3 linked regions of the Rattus norvegicus genome follow. The protein of the gene in region 3 interacts with the protein of the main gene of each other region in a pairwise test. Links are inferred from orthologs where the notes say so. Each region holds a gene or a part of one and is shown on either strand. Other genes may lie near its edges.

Region 1 (7,334 bases), on a different chromosome or scaffold from region 3:
GGGAGAGCCCTGGCTGCTCCTCCGAGGTCCAGAGTTCAGGTCCCAGCATCCACATGGCTTCTCCAACCGTCTGTAACTGCAGTCCCGTGAGATCCAAAGCCATCTTCTGATGTGCAGATATACATGCAGACAAAACACCCATCTACATACGTAAACGGACTCTAGAATAATTAAAACAGATGAATATCTAGTTAACAATATTCCTCTTTTTCCCAGAGATGAAAATCCTTGTAGACTTTTAAAAAGTGCCTGTGTGCTTTTTCACAGTGCTATTTTTGGTAAAGCTGCCATCACTTTGTAATACCGTTTTGAGATGAGCTTTATATAGAAGGAAAGCTTTTTTTAAATTAATCACACTACATATTCAAAAATTCTTATAACATTCTGTTTTGTATCCTGTATCTTCACAGGTTCTTGATAAAACGTAAACACCCTTCCTTGTTTACCTGCATTCACCACACTTTAGTGATTTGCGGTATTTCATGATTTAGATACACAGGAACTTGTTTTGCCTGAGGGGTTTGTCCCATGTTCCCCTGTGATATCTAAACTAAAAACGGTGCCAAAAGCTCATAACATATGCTGCAGTTTTCCCTATGAATGCCTACCTTTGAGAGGTTTAATTTGTAAGTTAGATTAAGTAACACTAATAATAACAAAATGGAGTAATTACTATATTAAGCGAGGGCTAATAGAACACAGGCCTGCCTGTGATACCGTGTTAGTCAATTTCATAACCGAGATAGCCAGTAATTAGCAGGTAATATCGCATATGCCGTGTGTATACACCGGCTAAAAGGGGGATGCTTGTCCTTGTTCTAGTGTGCTTTCTGTCACTACGATAAAACATTGACCAAAACCAACTTGGGGAGGAATTACAGTTGATCATCAAGAGAAGCCAAGGCAGGGGCTTGAAGCAGAAACCATGAAGGAATGCTACCTCCTGACTTGCTTCCTCTGGCTTGCTTAGCAACAGTTCTTAACACAGCCTAGACCCACCTGCTAGGGGATGGTACTGCCCACAGGGGGCTCCATGCTCCCATGTCAATTAATAACTAAAACGTCCCAGAAACATGTCCATAGCCAGTCCTATGGTGGCGATTTCTCAATTAAGGTTTTCTCTACATAGACCTGTAAAATTGACCACGACTGCTAGCTATGACAGCCTCAGGCACAACACAGCAGGACAGTACAAAATTTGAAATCTATTAGTTGTTTACCAATAGAATTTAAAAAAAAATATTTGGGAGGCATAGTCGACTGTGGGTAAAAAGTAAAACCATGGATGAAAAAGGATTACCGTACTATACTTAATAAGTTTTTGTTTCCGTCAGAAAATGTTTCTTTCCCTAATATTTCGGTTTCAAATAGTATTAAATCTGGCTTATATAACACCTTTCAGCACATTTAGAATTCCTCCCTTTAATCTGTTCCTAGAAGAAGGTGTTTACACAGCGCATGGATGCCTTTCTAAGGTTTTTGATGCATGTAGCTAAATCCATCCGGGAAGTTCCCTAGGGGAAAGGTTCAGAGTGGCAGTTCTCACACTGTGGGTCACGACCCCTCTGACAATCCTGAGTCTCCAAAAACATCCACACTGAAGTACGCAGCAGTAGAAAAATTACAGCAATGAAGTCGCAATGAAAACAGTTCCACGGTTGGGGGTCAGCGTAGCATGAGGAACTGTATTAAAGGGTTGTGGCACATAGAAGCGTGAGCACTGTTTTGGAGGATTGCCCTCACCGGGGCGGTTCACCGTTCAGTCTCCACGCCTGCAGGAGAACAGAGGAGAGGGGTAAGTTCCGACCCAGTGAGCCCCACCCCACCCCTTAACTTCCCGTGTACCCTCCCTCAGGTATGCTGCCAGAGACAAGAGCCGTCTAATCCAGCTGGGCATTACCCATGTCGTAAATGTTGCTGCGGGCAAGTTTCAGGTGGACACAGGCGCCAAGTTTTACCGTGGAACACCCGTGGAGTACTATGGCATTGAGGCCGATGATAACCCCTTCTTTGACCTCAGTGTCTACTTTCTGCCTGTTGCTCGTTACATCAGAGATGCCCTCAATACTCCCCGAAGTAAGCTGCTGGGGAAGAGGTTGGGTTAGGGTCAGGGTGGGTAGGGAGCCCACAGCACCAGCTCTGTCAGAGGCCCTCCCGCAGTAGGATCAGATGGTTATTGCCACTTAATGAGTACATGGTGGAAGCCAGTGACTTCAGATATAACTAAGATTCAGCATGGGGTTGCAGAGGCGGCTCCGTTGGGAAAGTACATGCTGTGCAAGCATGGGGATCTGTGTTCGATCCCTGGAACCCACATGGACAAGGCAGGGATAGTAGTGTGTGCTCATAATTCCAGCATCAGATAGATGAATAGAGAGATTCTGAGGCTCATTGGCAGGCAGCCTGGACAGTATGTCCAGACCTGTGAGAGACCCCATCTTAAAAAATGAAAGTGGACAGCACCCAAGGAACAACACTCAGAGCTGACTTCTGGCCTTCATATATGCATGTGTGTACATGCATGCACACCTATACTCTCATGCGTACCATTACATCAACACACACACACATGTGCACACACTTTCTCACACACATACACACACTCACACATATGTACACACTCTCTCACACACACATGTACACATACTCATACACACACACTCATACACACACACTCACACACATGTGCACACACTTTCTCACACACATACACACACTCACACATATGTACACACACTCTCTCACACACTCACACACACATGTGTACACACTCATACACACACACTCACACACATGTATACACACTCTCACACACGCTCACACACATGCACACACACACCCTCATAGACACTCACATGCACACACACACTCTCTCACACACACTCACATGCACACACATGCACATGCACACACACGCTCACACACACGCTTACATGCACGCACGCACACACACATGCAAACACACACACACTCTCATACCATCCATTTTGATCCCCAGAATAACCATACTCTTTAGAAAGAAGCCAGATACTAGGCAGAAATCACCAAGACCTTGCAAAGACTCATGGGTAAGCACCCCAGAGGGAAGACGTAAGTGCAAATCCAAGAGGTCATGGAAGTTTGGTGACCCTCACCTAGAGTTGCAATGGCTACCAGAGAAAGCCCTTCTACACCAGGAGAGGGAGCCCTGCTGCTCTTTAGCCTTATACTAAGTCGTTGTGTGATCTTGAGCTTCCATTGTCCCTGAAGGGATGGCCAGAGATGTCCCTTCTTCCCAAAGGTGAGATGGGAACAGGTCACCAATGCTAGCTTGGGTCTTCCTACAGGCCGAGTGCTGGTCCACTGCGCCATGGGGGTAAGCCGCTCTGCTACAATTGTCCTGGCCTTCCTCATGATCTTCGAGAATATGACACTGGTAGACGCCATCCAGACGGTGCAGGCCCACCGAGATATCTGTCCCAACTCAGGCTTCCTCCGACAGCTCCAGGTTCTGGACAATAGGCTGAGGCGGGAAACAGGGAGACTCTGAATTAGGGAGCACTTGAAGCCCTGACTCCTCCATCCAGCGTGGCCTAACCTGACTTACCTGGCCCTGGGAATGGCAGCCTTGGCTGTTTCCAGAGTCCCTGAGATGGCACCAGCAAGTCAGGGCTCCGCTGAAGCAGAGGCAGGGTGGGCTGGGTGGCAGCCCTCAACAAGTGGAGTCCCCTGACACAGCAGAGAAATTCTTTATGCAGAAGAAATTTCAGACTGTCTCTATAATAAAAGGTTCATCATAATAACAGTGGTTTGTAGACAATGGCTTTACTCTCACGAGGGCCACAGTCCTAGGGTAGCCTGCCAGCTCTGACTCAGTAGTCTGGTGGAAGAAGTAGCCTGTTGATACCACAAGGCCAACTGAGGAGACCGTGCAGGTGGGGTTCAAAAGGAGGTTTGCTCCAGTGCTGCGGACCAGGCGACTAAGTCCTCATCTTGTCTCTTTTGTACCCTCACCCAATGCTAAGGTTGTCTGTTTAAAAAAAAAAAATTCCAGTGGCTGGAGAGATGGCTCAGTGGTTAAGAGCCCTGGCTGCTCTCCCAGAAGTCCTGAGTTCAATTCCCAGCAACCACATGGTGGCTCATAAACATCTATAATGAGATCTGCTGCCCTCTTCTGGCCTGCAGGTGTCCACGCAGCTAGAGCACTTCTACACATAAGATAAATAAATCTTAAAAAAAAAAAAAGTTCCAAGTGTCACATCCTCTCTGGGCCACAATCAAAACTCACCATTGGGATCCAGTGAGAGTGTAAGCCCTGGCAACCCGAGCACCATCTTCTACCTTATAAACATGAAGAGAAAGAATGGGGGCCGGGAAGGTATCTCTCATGCCAGGGCACACATACACACCCTGACACATCATGCCTATACACAGTAATAATAAAATCAAGCTTATTTTTAAAAGTAAATTAAGGTCAAGTGAGAGACAGCTGGACAGGTAAAGGTATTTGCTACCAAACACAACGACCCGAGTTCAATCCCTGGGACCCATGCGGTAGAAAGAAAGAACCAAATCCCACAAATTATTCTCTCATCTCCACACACTTACTATGACATGGATATACCCGTCTCCCCTCCCCCAAAAAACCCCATAAAGAAGTGTTATAACAAAAAAGAACAGTCTTAAAAGTTAATTTGAAAACTGACTGTTGGAGCTAGGGGTGTAGGGCAGGGGTGAAGCGCTGGCCTAGCATATGTAAACCTCTGGGTGTGATTCACGGCATTATAAACAAAACAGCAAGGAGCAGTACCTATGGGCCTAGCATTGAGGCTGGAGGACTGAGTACATTCAAGGAAGGCCAGGCTAGACTACATAGTAAATTACAGGCCTGGGACTAGGGACGTCCTCAATTGGTAGAGTTGTTTCCCTAGGGCACACGGGGCTCTAGGCTTGATCCTCAGTGTCTTAGGGTTTCTATTGCTATGAAGAGACACCATGACCATGGCCACTCTTACACAGAAAAACATTCAGTTGGGGCTGGCTTACCGTTTAAGCAGTTTAGTCCACCATCGTCACGGCGGGAAACATGGTGGCATACAGGCAGACACAATGCCAGAGAGGAAACCGAGTGTTCTACATCTGGATCACCAGGTTGTAGGGAGAGAGAGTGACACAGGGCCTGGCTTGAGCATCCCAAATCTCAAAGCCCACCTCCACAGTGACACACTTCCTCCAACAAAGCCACACTCACTCCAACAGGGTCACACCTCCTAGTAATGCCACTCCCTGTGAGCCTATGGGGGTCATTTTGATTCAAACCACCTCACCCAGAATGATATAAACCTGGGTGCCCGTGTGCCACAACCCTCAGGAGGTAGAGGCAGAAAGATCAGTTCGAAGTCATCCCTAGGACATAGTGAGTTTGAGGCTAGCCTGGGCTACAGGAGAAAAGGATGAAGAAAACAATACAGAAAGTTTCCCTTGGGTTCCTCACTGGCAAACAGCATGACCTGCTCATGGTTTTTAGGGTGAAATGGTTTGCTTTCCCCACTTTTCTCTGGTCCCATTTTTCTCCTGCTTCCTCAGATTTTTTCTACTGACCCTAGAATATGAAGGTCTCTCTGGGTTTTGTCGTCTTGCGTCTTATCTCCCAGATGCTCCTACTTTTCTGGGTGAGCCTTGGCTCTCCCAGCCTCAGTCTTCTCTCCTGTGCTCCAAACCTGGGTATTCCACTAGCCACCTTCATTAGTGTATTAGGCCTTCAGCCTCAGCTGAACTTTTCATAATCCTGTACCCCACCCCCAGACTCTCTCTTCTAGCTTGTTCCCTACTTTACAGCAGAGTTTCCCACCACCGTTCTTGTGCCAACAATAGCTATTTTTATTGATTTTTTTTCTTACCACTATTGCAAGATATCTGATAGAAGCCACTTAAAGAAAGACATCACTATTTTGGTTCTCAGTTTCTGAGGAAATTCAAAGTTGCTCAATCTTTGGTGGCAGGAGTTTAAGGCTGCTTACATTGTGGCTGACCAGGAATCAGAGAACTCAGTGTGCTTGATTGAATGAGAACAGCCCACATAGACTCCTATGTTTGAATGCTTAGTTCCCATTTAGTGGAACTGTTTGGGAAGGATTAGGAGGTATGGCCTTGTTGGAGGAGGTGTGTCACAGGAGGTGGGCTTTGAGGTTTCAAAAGTCTCTCTGTGTCTGTCTGTCTTTGTCTTTCCATCTCTGTCTGTCTCTCAACTCTCTCTCCCTCCCTCCCTCCTTCCCTCCCTCCCTCCCTCCTCCCCTCCCTCCCTCCTTCTCTTCCCCTCTCCCTTTCCTCCCTCTCTTTCCTCCCTCTCCCTCTTTCTCTCTCTGCCTGCTGCCTGTGAATCAGAATCTAAAGTTCTCAGCTACTGCTCAGCACCATGGTTGAGATCAGAAAAAGGTAGAGTTTTCAGATGCCAATCACCCATAATTTGTTTCCACATCCCAAAGGTTCCAAAACCTCCCAGACAGCACCACCAGCTGGGGACCAAGCATTCAAATAGGTGAGCCTAAAGGGAACATTTCAGACTAAAACCAGAAGAGCTGTCAACCTTGACATAGCCCCTGGCAACCCCTTCAGGTACAGCTCTGTGGGTCTATGGGCCGGCAGCCATGGGTTCACATCACTAGGCCATTAAGGAGACCAGATCCTGGCACATCCTGGGACTGGATGGTCTCTCTGTCCTGCCGCACTGCACACATCTCTCATCCAGCTCCCCTGGTGTCCTCTCCTAACATAGACCACTCATAAGCCCCTTAGACTCTCCAGAATTCTCACCAAGACTGTAGAGCCAATTCTGGCTCCCCCGGGGGCTTAAAGAAGGTTCCCTTCTCTAGTCTACTCTTGGGGGGTGATGGTTCTCCTTGGTGCAAATTGGAAAGCGTCTGGGCAAACCACATTTGTGGACAGAGCACTCCAGATTAACAAGCTGCCTGTGCCCCCTCCTCCCAAATGGACAGGGTCCCGACTCAGGATCCCTGGCAGGGTAAAACTGACCCCTGGGCTGGATCTTAGCCCCCCTTAATCTATTTGCAAATCACAATCTACTTGAAAGCATTCTAGCTTGGTAGGTTCACACCCCCATTTCATACACAAGTCAACTGAGGCTCCAAGGAAGAAACCAGAACGGAATGTAGGTTCAGGATCTAGGACAAGCGCTGCCAGCTGGCGCTCTCACATTTCTGTGGCATACCTCTGAAGGCTCGTGCTGCTGGGCCCAGGTTCACTCCAGAATCTAGGGCCCTACCGTGTATGGCTGCTCCAACTCTAGGGAGAGATGGCTTTTCTCAGTCCAACCTGAAGTTGGTGGGGACTGGAAT
Region 2 (8,079 bases), on a different chromosome or scaffold from region 3:
TTTCTTAAACAGTGCACCTAGACTTGTCCTCCTACCAGAACTAAGTTTATAAAGATATTATTACCTTATGCTACCTTACCTCTGTTGCTGTAAAATTATTAAAAATGCCTTAATTTATCCCACACTAGGTCCAGCACCTTAGTGCCCCAAGATATCTTGTAGATATCTTCCTCTCACCCGCTTTGCTCAATCCCATATCACACTGCTGATGGCTTCTCTCTGAGCCTGACAACAGTCTCTCTACCCATCTAGTTCCCAAGGCAGGTTGCCACCATGCCAGAAATACACGTCTCCAGTCACCACATATACTCTTGAACTTAAAACATGAAAGAACACACAACACAATAACCTCCGATACAATTGATAATATATAATTTGCTCACCTAGACATACAAAAAGCCCTGTACACATCCATCCCTTAAGAATATTCATAACAGGGGGCTAGAGAGATGGCTCACAGGTTAAGAGCACTGACTGCTCTTCCAGAGGTCCTGAGTTCAATTCCCAGCAACCACATGGTGGCTCACAACCGTCTGTAATGGAGATCTGATGCCCTCTTCTGGTGTGCCTGAAGACAGCTACAGTGTACTCACATACATGAAATAAATAAATAAATCTTTTTAAAAAAAAAAAGATTATTCATAACAACCTGTAAATGTGCAGAGAGGAATCTTAACATCAGCCTCCATGTTCTCTCTGCTGCTTCTCCTGCCTCCTCCAGTCTCCTCCTCTCTCTAAAACTTTTCTCCCGCCCATCCTTCCTTCTCGTCCAATGACAGGCCTCGTTCTATCTTGTACCTGCCTTCACCTGTATGACATCAATCCAGTTTCAACATTTGCAAACCATAGCCACTATGCAAGTGTAAGAATCTAAGTCATTCTTAAAGTTGAGTGTACTACTTTGCCACTGAGGGTAGAGAAGGAAAGAGAGAGCAGAAAGTATTAATCTGAAAATATCTGCGTTTCTTATACCTGGAAAAGTACCATAGTCAGACAAATGAGCTGTAGTAAAGGCCACATACACATTACTGTTTTGCATATGGAGAGGCTGATTATCTACACACCACCCCTACCCCCTTTTTTTTCTTGAGACGTAAGGGAACAAACAGAGTTCTCAAACAGCTGTCCTGGAACTCAGGGCAGTCCTGCTGTTTTGGCCTTCTGCGTTCTGGGATTACAGAACTCAGACACTATGCCTGTTCAGATCCGCCATTTTAACTGTGATTGATATTTCGGTTGTCACCTGTCAGCTGGCTGGGGTCATGTTGCTCTAACTGGATAGAAATCAGTAGGAGAAGTTCCCAGGCCCTTGAGTGTCCAAGGCCTGGACTAGCAGACTAGATGATTGCAATTCCAAACACTGAGAGGTCGGGACTTAGGGCTCCTGATTTAGAAGCTAGTGACGCATGGCTCTGGGTGCTCAGGTTGGATGCTGTTGGCATTCATTTGGCAAGCATTTGCCAGCCACTGTAATGCTCAGCGCCCAGCGGCTGTGAGTGAGAGCAGCAGTCATCTGCTGGACTTACAGATCCTGGAGGGGGGCCTTGACTGTTGAGACACTGTTGGTATCAGGAATTGCCTTTACCTCCAACAGCTGCAACGGTTGGTCACTGTTGCTATGGCAACAGCCATACATTCCCAGAAGACCTTTTGGCTCAATTCCCACCTCGACCTGGGAATAGTTACATCACATTCCAAATAAAAAGCAGACTTCCTTTGCCTTCCTTCTCTTTTCTTTTCTTTCTCTTGCCCCTTCCCCTAGTCTCATTCTTCATAAATCTCTCCTTGTGGAACCGTATTGGTTTGGTGTGCTCTATCTGGATGGGTACAGGCCGATATTTAACAACAACAAGATTTTAATAACAACAGACACTTCATTCCTACAATGACTAGTATTACCGCTTAAGGCCAGGAAGCCTCCTGAAACTCTTCAGCACCTAGTTCTCATAGCTTCCTCTGCCTCTACTCCAGTGTTTCCACTTCAGTTATTTGCTTCCTCTCTGGAAGCCTTCCTGGGGCTTCAACTGTTACTAGTTGGAAGCTGCTACCAGTGTGCCAGTTCTAACCTTGTCTTCCTTGTGCCGATAGCTCAGTCTGGTCTGCTAATACTAACAGTCAAAGGCAGGAGGGAAAAGGCCACTCGCAGAGCCTTTCAAATGAGCCTAATGTTATAGCATGTAACGCTGGGAGCAGCACAATGAGGGTGTATCCAGGTGACTTCAGAAGTGAGCTGCCAGGTGGACAGAGGCCAGAATATTTGCAGCAATCACAACACATCCCTTCATGCATCACAGACCTGCCGCGGAGCCAACATGATGAGTGCCCCTCTGCCTAATGCTCATTGAGGCTTCCGCTCAGCCCGGGCTTTCTGAGACCTGTGCAGACTGGTGGAGTGCTCCTGATGACTGTCTTCAGCTATGCTTCTGTAGTATCCTCAGAGAAACAGGAAGGAAGGAAGGAAGGAAGGAAGGAAGGAAGGAAGGAAGGAAAGAAAGAAAGAAGGAAGGAAGGAAGGAACCAGAGTCTGGCTATTAAGAGTAAAGGGCTGACAGTTCCACCCCAGGCTGCTAGGTTTAAGAGAAGGACCTGTGAAAATGTTGGCCTACATGGTCTTAGAGAAGCCTCAACACAAACTAACAATTCCTGTAACAGTACTTCATATTATATAACAATGTGTACCAGCATTTGACTCCTGCCCCAATGCCCCAGGATAATATATAGTAACTTTGCTTGTATTAATACACAGCACTGAACAAGTATTACCTTTATTATGTTCCAGACATGTACTAAGAGCTTAATGAAAATGGACACACTTCCTGCCTTCCTAGAGCAAATAGAATAACAGGGAGGATACATGGTAAGTAAAAATGATGAATAAAAGAATGGTGGGGGTAGGCAGTGGTGGTGCACACCTTTAATCCCAGTACTCAGGAAGCAGAGGCAGGCAGATCTCTGAGTTCAGGCCAACCTAGTCTGCAGAGTTCCAGGAATAGGCAGAGAAACCCTATCTTGAAAAAAAAAAAGAAAGAAAAGGAAAGAAAGAATGAATTGGATGAATTTGGAAAGCACAAGGCAATTACATCTGGTCTAGTGGACTTCTCAGTACAAAATGTTTATAAAGCGGAAAGTGCTGGGGACGTAGCATAGCTAAAAGAATGCTTGCCTACTCTGCATAAATCCCTGGGTTCCGTCTTGAGCAGCCCATAAACCAAGTTTAATAGCACATGCTGTGATTCTAACACTGGGAAGCAGAGACAGGAGGATCAGAAATTCATGGTAATCCTCCACTTCATAACAAATTCAAAGCCAATCTGGGCTACACGAGACAGTGTCTCGAAAAAGGAAAAAGTTTAAAAGAACGTATACATAGAGGGTGACTCAGAAGTCCTTTAACTGAAACATCAAAGTGATTCCGAAGGCCAGCAGGTCAGTTCTTGGGCCCCTGGGAGGTTTGTGTGTAATCTCTGGTACGAGTGCAGCACACTAAGGGGTCCAGACAGAATGGCATTACCTACTCAGAGATCCGACGAGCTGAGGCTAGCCTGGACCAGACTAAACTTTCAGGGTATCCCTCAAAGTCTGGAACTTTGTGAGCATACAATCACGGGGCTAGTCCACAGCCAGATCCACCGAGGAGATGGGGAAGGATTTATTCAACACCTAGCTCGATGTGGTTGACCTCTCTTAGGAAATTGTTGCACAGCTGTCCTATCTGTATGAGATCTCCAGTTTACCCTGAGTTACACGAGACGATGAAATACATTGCCAAGAAGTGTGGAGTTAGGTTCCAGCCTCCGGCCATGATCTTGATTTATGAGAATGAAGCTGAAGGAAAGAGCCGCCAGCGCATCATGCCTGTCCGAAACTTTTCGAAGTTCTCAGGTACGCCTCGTTTTATCTCGCTTCCTGCCTAGCTGTCAGCTTATTTTATTCATGTGTCTGTGTCCACGTGAGTTGGTGTCTACAGAGACCAGAAGAGGGCATCAGATTCCCTGCAGCTAGAGTTGCAAGCCTAATCGTTGCTGAAGTTGGGAACCCTGCAAGCACCCCTAACCACTGAACCAGCTCTTCAGCCCTTACCTCCTGTCTTAAATATTCTTTTTTTTTTTTTTTTTTTTATTAACTTGAGTATTTCTTATATACATTTCGAGTGTTATTCCCTTTCCCGGTTTCCAGGCAAACATCTCCCTCCCCCCTCCCCTTCTTTATGGGTGTTCCCCTCCCCATCCTCCCCCCTTGTCGCCCTCCCCCCAACAATCTAGTTCACTGGGGCTTCAGTCTTAGCAGGACCCAGGGCTTCCCCTTCCACTGGTGCTCTTACTAGGATATTCATTGCTACCTATGAGGTCAGAGTCCAGGGTCAGTCCATGTATAGTCTTTAGGTAGTGGCTTAGTCCCTGGAAGCTCTGGTTGGTTGGCATTGTTGTACATATGGGGTCTCAAGCCCCTTCAAGCTCTTCCAGTTCTTTCTCTGATTCCTTCAACGGGGGTCCTATTCTCAATTCAGTGGTTTGCTGCTGGCATACGCCTCTGTGTTTGCTGTGGCTGTGTCTTAAATATTCTTAAGTCGTTTAATAAAAATAACCCGACATCATCAGGTATGGTGACACACACCTATAACCCAAGCAGGAAAGTTGCTAATGCAAAATATCTGGACAACTTGAGGTAGCCTGTCTCAAAATGAGAGCAGAAAACAAAAGGGATGGGTTGGGGAGGGGTTGAAAGTCAGTGGTGGAACCCTGACCTACTGTGTGCAAGGTCCTGGGTCAGTCCTACTGAGAGGGAAAAGGAAGGGGAGGGGGAGGGAGAGAAAGAGGGAAGGAGAGAAGGGAGAGAGGGAAAGGAAGAGGGAGGGAGGGAGGGAGGGAGGGAGGGAGGGAGGGAGGGAGGATATTTCAGTTCCTTGCGATGGAATGACAGGCTCCTCAGAGTTCAACAACCCTGGGTTTAGATCGTCAGAGACCCGCCTGTGATCATTGTGAGATCACTTATTCATCCACTTCAGTTTCTGTGTTGGTATTTTTAGGTCAACCTGACACAAGCTTGGAATCATTTAGGAAGGGGGAATGCCAAGTGAGAAAATGCCCCCAACAGATTGATCTGTAGCAGACCTGTGGTCCGTTTTCTTGATTGATTACTGATGTAGGAGGGCCTAGCCCACTGAGGGTGGGGCCACTCTGGGCTGATGGTCCTGTTTAGTATAAGAAAACAGGCTGAGCAAGCGGTGGTGAGCAAGCCTGTAAGCCCATGGCCTCTGCATCAGCTCCTGCCTCCAGGATCATGCCCCCCCCCCCCTTTTGTTTTTGGTAGGAGGGGTAGCTTTAGTCCCAGCACTCAGAAGGCAGGTGAATCTCTGTGAGTTTAAGATCAAACCTGGTCTTACATAGTGAGCTCTAACCCAGCAGAGGCTACATAGTCTAAAACAAATAAAAAATCATGCCATTTTTTACCTTTAGACATTTTCTTCAGTTGAAAGTTTTTAACAACTCTACAAAGTAATTTTAAGTTTACAAAGTAAAAAATAAATAAATAAATAAAAGAAACAGTTCATCCTTCTCTCTCCACACCAAAGTTAAGTTTGTTTGTTTGTTTATTTAAAATGTTTTATTTGGGGGCTTGCTGTTCTTTCAGAAGACCTGGGTTCAGTTCCCAGCACCCACATTGCAGCTCCCAGCCATCTTCTAACTCCAGTTCCGGGAGATCTAGCGCCCTCTACTGGTCTCTGCCAGCACCACACATAAGGTACACACTAACACATTCAGGCAAACACTCAGCATATACAGTCGAAATAAAGAAATTCTTTTTAAAAATTATGTTATTTTTTGGTATTTCTTTGAGACAAGATCTCTCTGCTTCACCTTGGATGGCCAAGAACTCATGAGTATCCTGCTTCAGCCTCCTAATGCTGGGATGAGAAACAATTATAAACCTATAGCACCATACCCACCCTGTTGTAATTTTTGCTTTGAAGGCAGGACCTAGTTAAATAGTCCAGGCTAGCCTCAAACATTCTGTCCTTCCAACTCTTCATATGTGTGCTGTATGACCAACTTCTCCTAGGTTGAAACAACATAGTTAGGTGTGTTTATCTCAGATAGTGAACCCATGACCAAAGTGTGAATACCATTGAAGTTCAATTTAATGAACCCACAAGCTTTACTGAGGTCACTTACAGGAATATGGGTGAGGGGTTACTCACAGGAGCAGAAATGACTCAGAGACAGCTGCATCACCAAGGCCTATGCCAGCATAGGTGACAGCTCACAAAGCTGGGAACACTGCTCAGCCTGCAGGCATCTCAGAGGGTGGAGAGTGCCTCTTGTTTCTGTTAGGCTGTTTGGCAGGTCTCTAGAGTCTTGTGTGTAAATTAAGCTCCTTTGAGAGTGACCCTTAGCTGTCTTTGTTTATCCTCCAGAAGGGAGGAACCTAGTGAATTTGGTCAGTTTTAGGGATTTCCTGTGTTACTTTGAATTGTTTACTCTTGTCTGAAGGAACTTCCCTGTAAGGTGGGATGTTTTAATGTGGAAGGCTGCCATGTAACAGCATGTGTAACTGAGAAGTGTTAAAACTCAATTGATTATAAAAAACAGTTCTAAAGCATAATTGATTTAATAAACCCCTCTAGCCAGTTGTCTACCTCGGAGCAAGTGATCTCAGGGTTCGGTCTGTGTTCGTCCACGCAGTAGTTTGTAATGGGTGTGCTGTGTGCTGTAATATACTCTTCTCCCTCCCAGATTGCACCAGAGCTGCTGAACAATTAAAGAATAACCCACGGCACAAGAGTTACCTGGAACAGGTGTCCCTGAAGCAGCTGGAGAAGCTGTTTGTTTTTTTACGAGGTTCCCTACAGGGGCAGAGCCTGGCAGAAACAATGGAACAGATCCAGCGGGAAACAACCATTGATCCCGAGGAAGACCTGAACAAACTGGACGACAAGGAGCTCGCCAAAAGGAAGAGCATCATGGATGAGCTTTTCGAGAAAAATCAGAAGAGAAAGGATGACCCCAGTTTTGTGTATGACGTGGAGGTTGAGTTCCCTCAGGATGAGCAGCTGCTGTCCTGCAGCTGGGACACAGCATCCGTCGATGAGTTCTGAGACTACGCCACGTTTCCACAAAGAAGGAAGAGCGGTTCTAGAAAACACTGAGACACGAATGATCCGTAAAACCAAGACACTTAACATGTCCTACACAGCCCTATGAGAAACACAGAAACACAAGATAGGAATCTGCAATCTAAAGAGAAAGTAACTCGAGAACTTGTAAAAAGGTATTTTATTATATTACTCAGGAAAAAGCTAAGAGCCAGGTATTTGATGAAGGCTGTAGAAAGGTCAATACCTGCTTGACCTTGAAATGCTACAGATGTATTTTATAGAAATCGAGATGAAGCAAAGGGGGAAGGGGGAAGTAAAGAGACAAGAAATAGGAAAATCTGGGAAAGGGTGAGTAATTATAGTTTGACAAGACTAGAATTAACCTGTGCTCATTAGGACCCTGTGTGCATTAACTCTGGGGTAGACAGGAATACCTATAAATGCAAAATGTCTCACAGCTACAAGTACATGTGGCAGAAGGCAGGCAAGTCTACTCCGCGATCAGGAAATGTGTTCTAACGTTACTCTGAAACCCAGAGCCACTTCCTGTGAAAGACTGGTTTGTACAATGGGAAGTCTGCCCACAATGAGCGATAGGTGCTGCTGTTCAGACCTGTTCGTAAGTTTAGTTGTGCAAAGATCGCAGCCTCACAAGGCCTCTGTGTGCAGATGTGTTTGTTCTTACTAGAATGTTATCTGATTGATAGAAATCATATGTTTTCTACAAGGAAACCATTACGCATCGAATAAAGCCGTGAATGCAATGTTCAGTCTCATCGGTTTTTCTGTCCTCCAGTTTGGTATTTTGTTTTCCAGGTTTTGGGGTGTCCTGGTTTGTGTGAGTTGGAGGACAGAGTAGTGTGAGGACATATGTCTCAGTGTCCTCTGTTCCTCTCTGCTCCGCTTCTCTACTGTGTCCCCTTTGATCCCTTTCTCCCAAGCCATCCCCCTTCTGCTTCCATGGCCATGAACTTCGTTACCTT
Region 3 (7,358 bases):
CAGGAGGATTACTTGATCTCAGGAGTCTAAGGCCAGCCTGGCTAAACATAGCCAGACCCTATCTCAAAGAAAATTAGTTCCACACCCTGTTGGCAGGAGACTCTCTGATGTTGGAATTCTAAACATTTTGATTTCTACTCCTTTGGGTTTTTTTTTGTTTTGTTTTGTTTTTCTTTCTTGCTTTTTGTTGTTGTTTGTTTGTTTGTTTGTTTGTTTGTTTTTTGGCTTTCTGGCTGTCCTGGAACTCACTATATAGGCCTCAAACCCAGAGATATGCCTGACTCTGCCTCTGCCTCCCAAGTGCTGAGATTAAAGGTGTGAGACTCCACTGCCCAGCTCCTGTTTTTTCTCATACTTCAGTTCGGAGGCCTTTGTTTATCTTATCACATTAAAATTTCATGTATTCTATATGTATATACGTGTGTGCGTGTGCCATGGTGCAGTTCTGGATGTCAGAGGACATCTTACTGGAGTCCGTTCCCTTCCTTCAACTGTGTGACTCCTCAGGGTCGTTCAGGCATGGCAGCAAGTGCTTTAAATTGCTGAGTCATTTTGCTGGCGGTCTGGATATATTCCCAGTCCCCACAGGTCAGAGCTCTGTACCTATTGCAGGGGCTGTGAAGCCAGCAATGCAGCCACTGCCACCCTAGGGCCATCTGTCTCAGCAGTCTGTGTCCCGGCTGTTAGTCCAGTGGCTTCCAGTGGTCATTTTCCTGGCCTTGGTGTTGATCCTTCTTCTGCTGGATCTTCCCTTTCCCACATTTCCTGAGTAGCTTCTTATCTCTCTCTGGTTCTTTCCCATCATCTCCATCACTGTACACTCACCTCTCCCTTCCAGGTTGACATTTTCCATTCTGTTCCTGACCGTCTGGCTTTCATTTTATGCAAGTTCCCCCCACCTTCTTCTTTTTTAACCACCATGGGAATTGAACCTGGGTCCACTGGAAGAGCAGCCATTCAGGAAAACCACTCATACACATTTGAGAGAGAGGGAGAGATGAATGGAGGGAGGGGAAGAGAGAGTGGGAGGGGGAGGGGGAGGAGGAAGGGGACGGGGGAGAGGGAGAGGGACAGAGAGATGTGGTGGCATATGCCTTTAATCCCAGCACTTGAGAGACAGAGGCAGGAGGTTCTGTGAGTTTGAGGCCAGTCTGGTCTACAGAGCAAGTCCCCCAAAACAGTCAGGGCTACACAGAGAAACCTGGTCTTGAAAAAAATCTGAAAAAAAAAAAAAGAAAACAAAAGGAAAGGGAACTGGTTTGTAAGTTCAGTGTGATGCTCACTTTATTCTTTATATATTATTTTGTATTTATGAAGTCGTTTTCCTCCCCCCAAGACAATATTTTACAATGTCGAGGAATCAACCTCTGTGCCAGTTTCTTTATTAGATTTTGGAGCCACAGGGTGTACGCCTTCATGTTCCTTCCAGAGAGATGAAAACCTTGTACACATGATAACGAGCTTTGGTTTGTGTGCAGTGCTGGTTTGACCAGGGCTTGCCCAGGCAAAGTCTGCACTACTGGGTTCTCTGTACCAAGCCCCTTCGTTGCCCACTTCCTCTTTTCTTCAAAGATGGGGTCTCACTTTGCAGTTATGCTAGCCTGGACCTCGCAAATGTCATCACACCTAACCAGCCCTTGGCCTTTTGAAACAGGATTTGAAATTGTCTATTTCCCAGCTACTGGGGTTCCAGGCATGTGCAGCTGGCAGAGTGAGCGTTTATGAAAATGCCATACATGCTCTATCTCCTTGTTCAGCACCCTGAGAATTCAGGTGGGTTTGAAAGCACCCTTTGGGTGGATAGAAAAGCAGCTGCTCAGAGTCGCTCGAAAACTGCACGCTTCTGGTAAATGGTTCTGTTCTACTGTAGCACTAGGTTTTCCAGGGCAGGATGGGAGGTGGAAAAGCACACTGGGAACAGCTAGTGAAGAAGACCCTGCCCTGGCACCCCAGGCCATCCACACTTCAAGTTCCTGTAGATAGGGGGGCAGCCACAAGGTACTCAGTGGGGACTGGGCTCATCGTTTGAGGACAAATACTGACAGGAGTGTTGGCTGCCACTTCACCTGACTCTGCCTTTCACTCCAGGACCTTCGGTTCTCTCAGCTTCTGCACAGATACCACAAAGCGAAGATAAGGACACATCCATTTCAGAACGGAGATGTGACAGGGTGAGTTCCAAACACCACACAATATGTAGGCTCAGAACTGGATCTGAAGGCCAGCCGTCCCCCTCCCTGCTCCAAGCACCTGCAGAAGTCCCAGTGTGAACACACATACAGGGCACAGGAAGAGACACATGGATCCAAATTAAAACGGAGCCGGAGCCGTGGAAGAGCTTGGTGTCAAGTTAGGGGGTGGAGGAGGGGTTGCTTCTTGGAGGAAGATGCTTGGACCTGCTGTGGGAGGGTGAATCAGGACGAAGCTGAGGAGATGGCAAAGGTTGAGAAGGGCCCATGCCTGGGAGAGGAGGAACAAAGCCCACAGTGTGGTCCTCACCAGAGCCTCTAAGTACCAATGGCCTGGTTTGGTTGGCAATGTGGCTTTTGTGTGAGATGGAGGGCTGAGGGAGCAGGTGCCTTGCCCTGGAATCCCTGTTTCTCCCTTTGCTCTAGGGGGAACGAACCTCCAGGAAGCCAGAAAGTATCGGTCCCAGATTCTTCCCTCCCAACCTCCCCCAGTCATAAATCACAAGTGATTTCATTAAATGCACCTCCTGCTGGGGATGTTGGCTCATAATTCCTCTCTGATTAACCCCCACTACCCCGGCAAGTTTATAGGCCAAGAGAGGGAGGGGGAGAGGGGAGGGGAAAAGGAGGGATGGGGGGAGCCCTGGGCGGGTGATGGATGCCTCTGTCAGCCCAGCTCGTATTTATTAATAGTCTTAATACGGGAAGCAATAAAGGAAGAGAGGGATTCTATTAATTAAATCATTGTTATAATTAACTTTCATTAAAGGAGGATCAATAAAGAGAGGTTGAGATGGAGAGAGGAGAGAGATCCATTATCTCCAATTTCCTTGGAAAGGATTCAGGGAATGAGATGGGGTTGCTAGGAGACAGACGTGAGGGAAGGAGGAGGGATGTAAGATGTCATCCAGGTGCAGTAGGAAGGGGTGGTGGTGGATGGGTTAGTTTCAGGTGAAGACAGGGATTGTGGGGGTGGTCCAGTAGTGAATCTGAAGGGTTGCAAGGTGCTGAGGAGGGTGTTTTGGGACAGAGAATGAGAGCTATAGGTGTACGCCTGCCAGGGCACAGAGCATTGGTGAGCACACAGGTCCTTAATATATGCTCTATGCTGCTGTGGATGTCTATGTCACCCAGACAACTGGTTGGGACAGATGGCTGTGTTGCTCTGACTGTAGAGTCAGGAGTGTATGGGGCTGTGCGGGATATAAACAAGGGTAGTAGGGAGCTTAGAGCACACCTCACTTGGCAGAACCCAAAGGTATGTGCTCTTGGTGGGAGTAGGGTGGAGCAAGGAGGGCCATGGAAGCTGATGGTCCCTGCATGTCCCTTCCCATCCCACCAGCAGTCTGCTCCTTCCTTAAAAGTGTGCTCCAGGCCAGCTGTGGCCTCAGGTGGCTGGCACACCAGAGGCCTGGTACCTACCTATTACCCCCTCCCTCCCTTGCCCCCTCCCTCCCAATGGGACTAGGAATTTGAAGCCCTTCTTTTCTGTAGCAATGCCTCTTGATAAGAAAATGTCATGACAACAGTTACACATATCATATAAATATATTTGTCCAAACTACAAATAAGAGGGGAGTTTAAGGGAGAGAGGAAGTTCTTATTGCTGTGGGGGCCTGGAGAGGGTGAGGGGCTGGGAAATGGGGACACCTGGGATCCCTTGTCCCCCTATCCCTCACAGAAGGCACAAATACATTTTCTTTTCTGCTTGAGGACTTCGGTGTGGGGTGGCAGGAGATGGTATAGGAACCCTTAAAAATACAAAAGAATCTTTCAAACTTATGGCCTAAGGTTGTGGGAAAGACTGGAGTTGGGAGTCAGAAAGAACCAGGGTAGGTCTTTCCTCATCAGGAAAGACCTGATGAGGTCATGAAGCCCATGCTGCTGCCTCCATGCAGGCCCCAGAGAAAACTTGAATAATAAACAAAGTCTGAACAAGAGAGGGGAGGGTACCCCAGGAGTTGGCTTTGGGGCATCAGAAGGAGTGGTGTGTGTATGTGTGTGTGTATACACACTTGAGCTATCAGTAAATAATTCTACTCCCACAAGGGAAAAGCCATCTCCATCCCGGCTCCTCTGAACTATTTTTCAGAGAGTAAACTCAGTCACTGGGTTTCCAAGACAGATTGCTGCCTGGAACAAAGAGATCAGGATGGAGACAGAGTTGTAAGGCTTGGGATGAAAGCGGGATGCAGGCATGGTCTGTAGAAACAGAACGTTATAAAGCCTGGTGTGATTAAAAAAAAAGGTATGAGACCAAACTGCATAACTGTCTGTGTGTACGTGTGTCTACATACGAGGGAAGGGTGAGATCACTCAAAGGTGAAAGGGTCCTGGGTGCTGAAAAAGAAATGTCCATCCATGTGGTCCTCCAGGGCATCCTTGTCACTCTCAGCAGGGAAGCGCTCCTTACAGATAGGACACTCCTTCCAGGCAGGGATGGCTGGGACCCCAGTGCTGGCCTCTGACAGAGAACTCACTGCAAAGCCACTAAAAAGAGGTGAGGAAAGACAGACAGGGTCAGGGTTCTCTGCTGCCTTTATTCTTATTTCTAATAGAGGGTCTCACCACAGTGCCCAGCTTCTGCAGTGTCCTTGACCTAGGGACCTCAGGGAATGAGACCCATGTGGTTCCTGTGTCTAATGTGCCATCCTGGTCATTCTCTGTTCAAGCCTGGCCTATGGTATTCTTCTGCTCCAGATGCCCGTGTCCTCTCTTCACAAGCCGCATCCCTGCTGGTGTCTATGGTATGGAACCCATCCCCCAGTCTCCGCTCTCCTCCCTCTGTCTCCGTCTGCTGCCTAATGAGGCTGAAAACGAGTCTGACATTGCTCTTCATTTTCCTGCTCTAGCAGAGAGACGACAGCATTGGCCCTTTCTGCCCCTGGCCCACTCACTCCAGGCAGAGGTGGGGGCCAGGTGAAGATGCTCCTTTCTCTGAGGCTCTGCCTGGCTGGCTGACTAGGACTAAAGAGCCACGCACCACCTGGTGCCTGCCCACACTTCAGGTTCTCCTCCCAGAGTTTCCCAGGAAGTCAGGGAGGGCAACATCTTTAGCACAGCCAGACAGATGCTCTGGGTGGCGTCTCTCTCAGTCTCCATCCCTGAGGCTTTGGTCACCTTCTTCCTCCCTGAAGACCTAGGTACCTACCTGGTGGTTGGGGAGGGGGAAGGGGCAGGAGAGAGGGGAAGCAGGGCAATTTGGGCTCCACGGAAGATGAAGCTAGAACAACACAGAAGCCAGTCAAAGGCAGGGAGAGAGAACATGAAGCCACCTGGGGTTTGTGGAGGTAGCCAACATTCCTGTCAACACACTGGTACCTTCTCTTGGCTGAGCCAAGAAGGGGGACTTGGGAGCAAGGCAAGGTGGCTGCTTGGGTACTGCCCTCCTCCCCTCTTTGTGCTGCCCTCACCTGGCCACATCATAGAAGGTACTGCCGAGCTCAGGAAGCAGAAGGTTGGCTTCCTCACCACCACTCTGCACAGCTGCCATCAAGACTGACTTCTCATCTTCAGCCTCCTGAGAAGGAAGAGATGGGGAGGACTGAGATGGGTCTGAGGTGGGGAAGTAGAAGGTAAGGGTGGAGGAGCTAAGGCTGGTCCCGGGCAGCAGAGTGGCAGGAAGAGAGAAGCAGAACAGAGCTTTCCCAGGGACGGTGAGGTAGGGCAGGGAGAGGGGGACAGGACGGGGGCTGGGAGCATCTGGGCTATTGCACTGGCCTGGGTTTTAGGTGAGACAAGATTTCACTGTGTAGTCTGAGCGTGAGTCTGAAGGCCTGAATCACACCTAGCTAGGCCTGCCTCCTCCAGCCCAGAGTATGTGCTATGTGGTACAGGCTTTCTCCGTGGTTCAAGTGTGACCCTACCACTGCTTACTACTTCCACATGGGCTCTCAGTACTCACTGAGTCTGAGCTGCTGGCCTCCCCTGGCCCTGAGAGCTGGGGAGCAATGGGTGCTGGCTGGTTGATAACAACAAGAGAAGAAGACTCCCGAGGTCCAGGAGGAGAGGAGCTTGTGTTTCCACGCTCACACAAGCCGTAGGAGGGGAGCCTCATGTCTTCTGGGGACTCATCCTCCGAGTCTGTCAGAGCTGCAGGGCAGCCTATGAGAGGGAAGACAGATAGAGAAGGAAGATCAGCCATGGGAATCTGAGGAGACCGACCGTTCCAGCTACAGAGGGCCCAGGGAACGGGAAGGGTCAGCTTCAAAGAGCATCAGAGAGGGGGAGGGAAGAGCTGCCCCAAGACTGGGGGCACAGACTCAGCCCAGCAGTGGCTTCCTCATCCTCTGTGGCAGCGTCTTCGTTCCACTTCTCATCTGCCACCTTTTCCAGGCGGGCCTCCAGTTTCCTCATGTACTCCAGCAGCTCCTGCAGTTGGGTAGAACAAGCAGGTCCTGAAGTCTGCAGACACCAGCCTTGCTGCTTGCTGGGCCTTCACTTGGTGGAGTCCTACGAGGCTGGCCCCTGACGGGTAGTTCTCTCTCCTCTACCCTGTGCCTCGTTCCCTTCTGGTGCTCCTCCCCTGCACAAAGTCAGTTTCTAAGAAGGGTCAGGGCCCTCTTTCAGCCTTTGTGTCCTCAAAAAGACACTGGTCTCTGATCCAAGATTTTACCAAGATGATACAGAATTTTGAGCCCCCAAGCTTTGGCATCCAGGGTCGCACCTATGGCAACAGGTGACTCTCACCTGTTTCTCTGTCTGCAACTGCTCCTTCTCCTTCTGAAGTACTCGGAGGGCTGACCGCAGCTCTGTGAGCTCCCGCTTACTCTCTGATAACTGCACCTGAGGGAAAAAGGTAATGGAACCTGGAGCCTGCAGCTATGTCCTTTCTTGCTCCATACCCAATGTTTCTTCCACAAGGCCCTTGTCTTGGCCCCAGGGCCTCAGGCCAAAGTCCTAACCTCTATCTCTCAAATGTGGCCCTAGCTAACTACCTTATGCTGGGGTGAAGAGGCTCTGCAATACAGAAAGCCACCCTGTACTCTGGTGTCTCATCCCGCCAGGCCCAGAGGTGCACGTTCAAATCCACAGAGCTGTGAAGTAGGCAGTCAGCACACAGTACTCAGAGTCGAGAGGCAGTGGGCACTAGTACATCAGGACATGGGTCTAAACCCAAGCAGGTAGGTGCCTCACCAGGCTAGAATCCTTTTCTCGGGCCAGCTCGGT

The links. The genes of interacting proteins can lie anywhere in the genome.
Region 1: the proteins of Calcoco1 (region 3) and Dusp13b interact in binary tests that used the Homo sapiens proteins (3 or more experiments, as listed by UniProt). The two-hybrid records come from large-scale screens. The link is inferred for Rattus norvegicus from reciprocal best matches to the Homo sapiens genes CALCOCO1 and DUSP13B.
Region 2: the proteins of Calcoco1 (region 3) and Cep19 interact in binary tests that used the Homo sapiens proteins (3 or more experiments, as listed by UniProt). The two-hybrid records come from large-scale screens. The link is inferred for Rattus norvegicus from reciprocal best matches to the Homo sapiens genes CALCOCO1 and CEP19.

Annotation. Positions count from the first base shown.
Region 1 is NC_086033.1:2,620,653-2,627,986, forward strand, and holds the end of Dusp13b (testis and skeletal muscle-specific dual specificity phosphatase), read left to right. Parts: exon of another isoform or gene 1-1,772; intron 1,773-1,855; coding exon 1,856-2,076; intron 2,077-3,134; exon of another isoform or gene 3,135-3,326; coding exon 3,327-3,529; 3' UTR 3,530-3,782; downstream 3,783-7,334. UniProt on the Homo sapiens protein: Dual specificity phosphatase that dephosphorylates MAPK8/JNK and MAPK14/p38, but not MAPK1/ERK2, in vitro. Exhibits intrinsic phosphatase activity towards both phospho-seryl/threonyl and -tyrosyl residues, with similar specific activities in vitro.
Region 2 is NC_086029.1:82,182,649-82,190,727, reverse strand, and holds the end of Cep19 (centrosomal protein of 19 kDa), read left to right. Parts: intron 1-2,779; 5' UTR 2,780-2,857; intron 2,858-3,688; 5' UTR 3,689-3,716; coding exon 3,717-3,882; intron 3,883-6,734; coding exon 6,735-7,096; 3' UTR 7,097-7,860; downstream 7,861-8,079. UniProt on the Homo sapiens protein: Required for ciliation. Recruits the RABL2B GTPase to the ciliary base to initiate ciliation.
Region 3 is NC_086025.1:135,709,490-135,716,847, forward strand, and holds the end of Calcoco1 (calcium-binding and coiled-coil domain-containing protein 1), read right to left. Parts: coding exon 7,326-7,358; intron 6,975-7,325; coding exon 6,879-6,974; intron 6,561-6,878; coding exon 6,452-6,560; intron 6,294-6,451; coding exon 6,094-6,293; intron 5,710-6,093; coding exon 5,603-5,709; intron 5,413-5,602; coding exon of another isoform or gene 5,341-5,412; intron 4,680-5,340; coding exon 4,502-4,679; 3' UTR 3,719-4,501; downstream 1-3,718. UniProt on the Homo sapiens protein: Functions as a coactivator for aryl hydrocarbon and nuclear receptors (NR). Recruited to promoters through its contact with the N-terminal basic helix-loop-helix-Per-Arnt-Sim (PAS) domain of transcription factors or coactivators, such as NCOA2.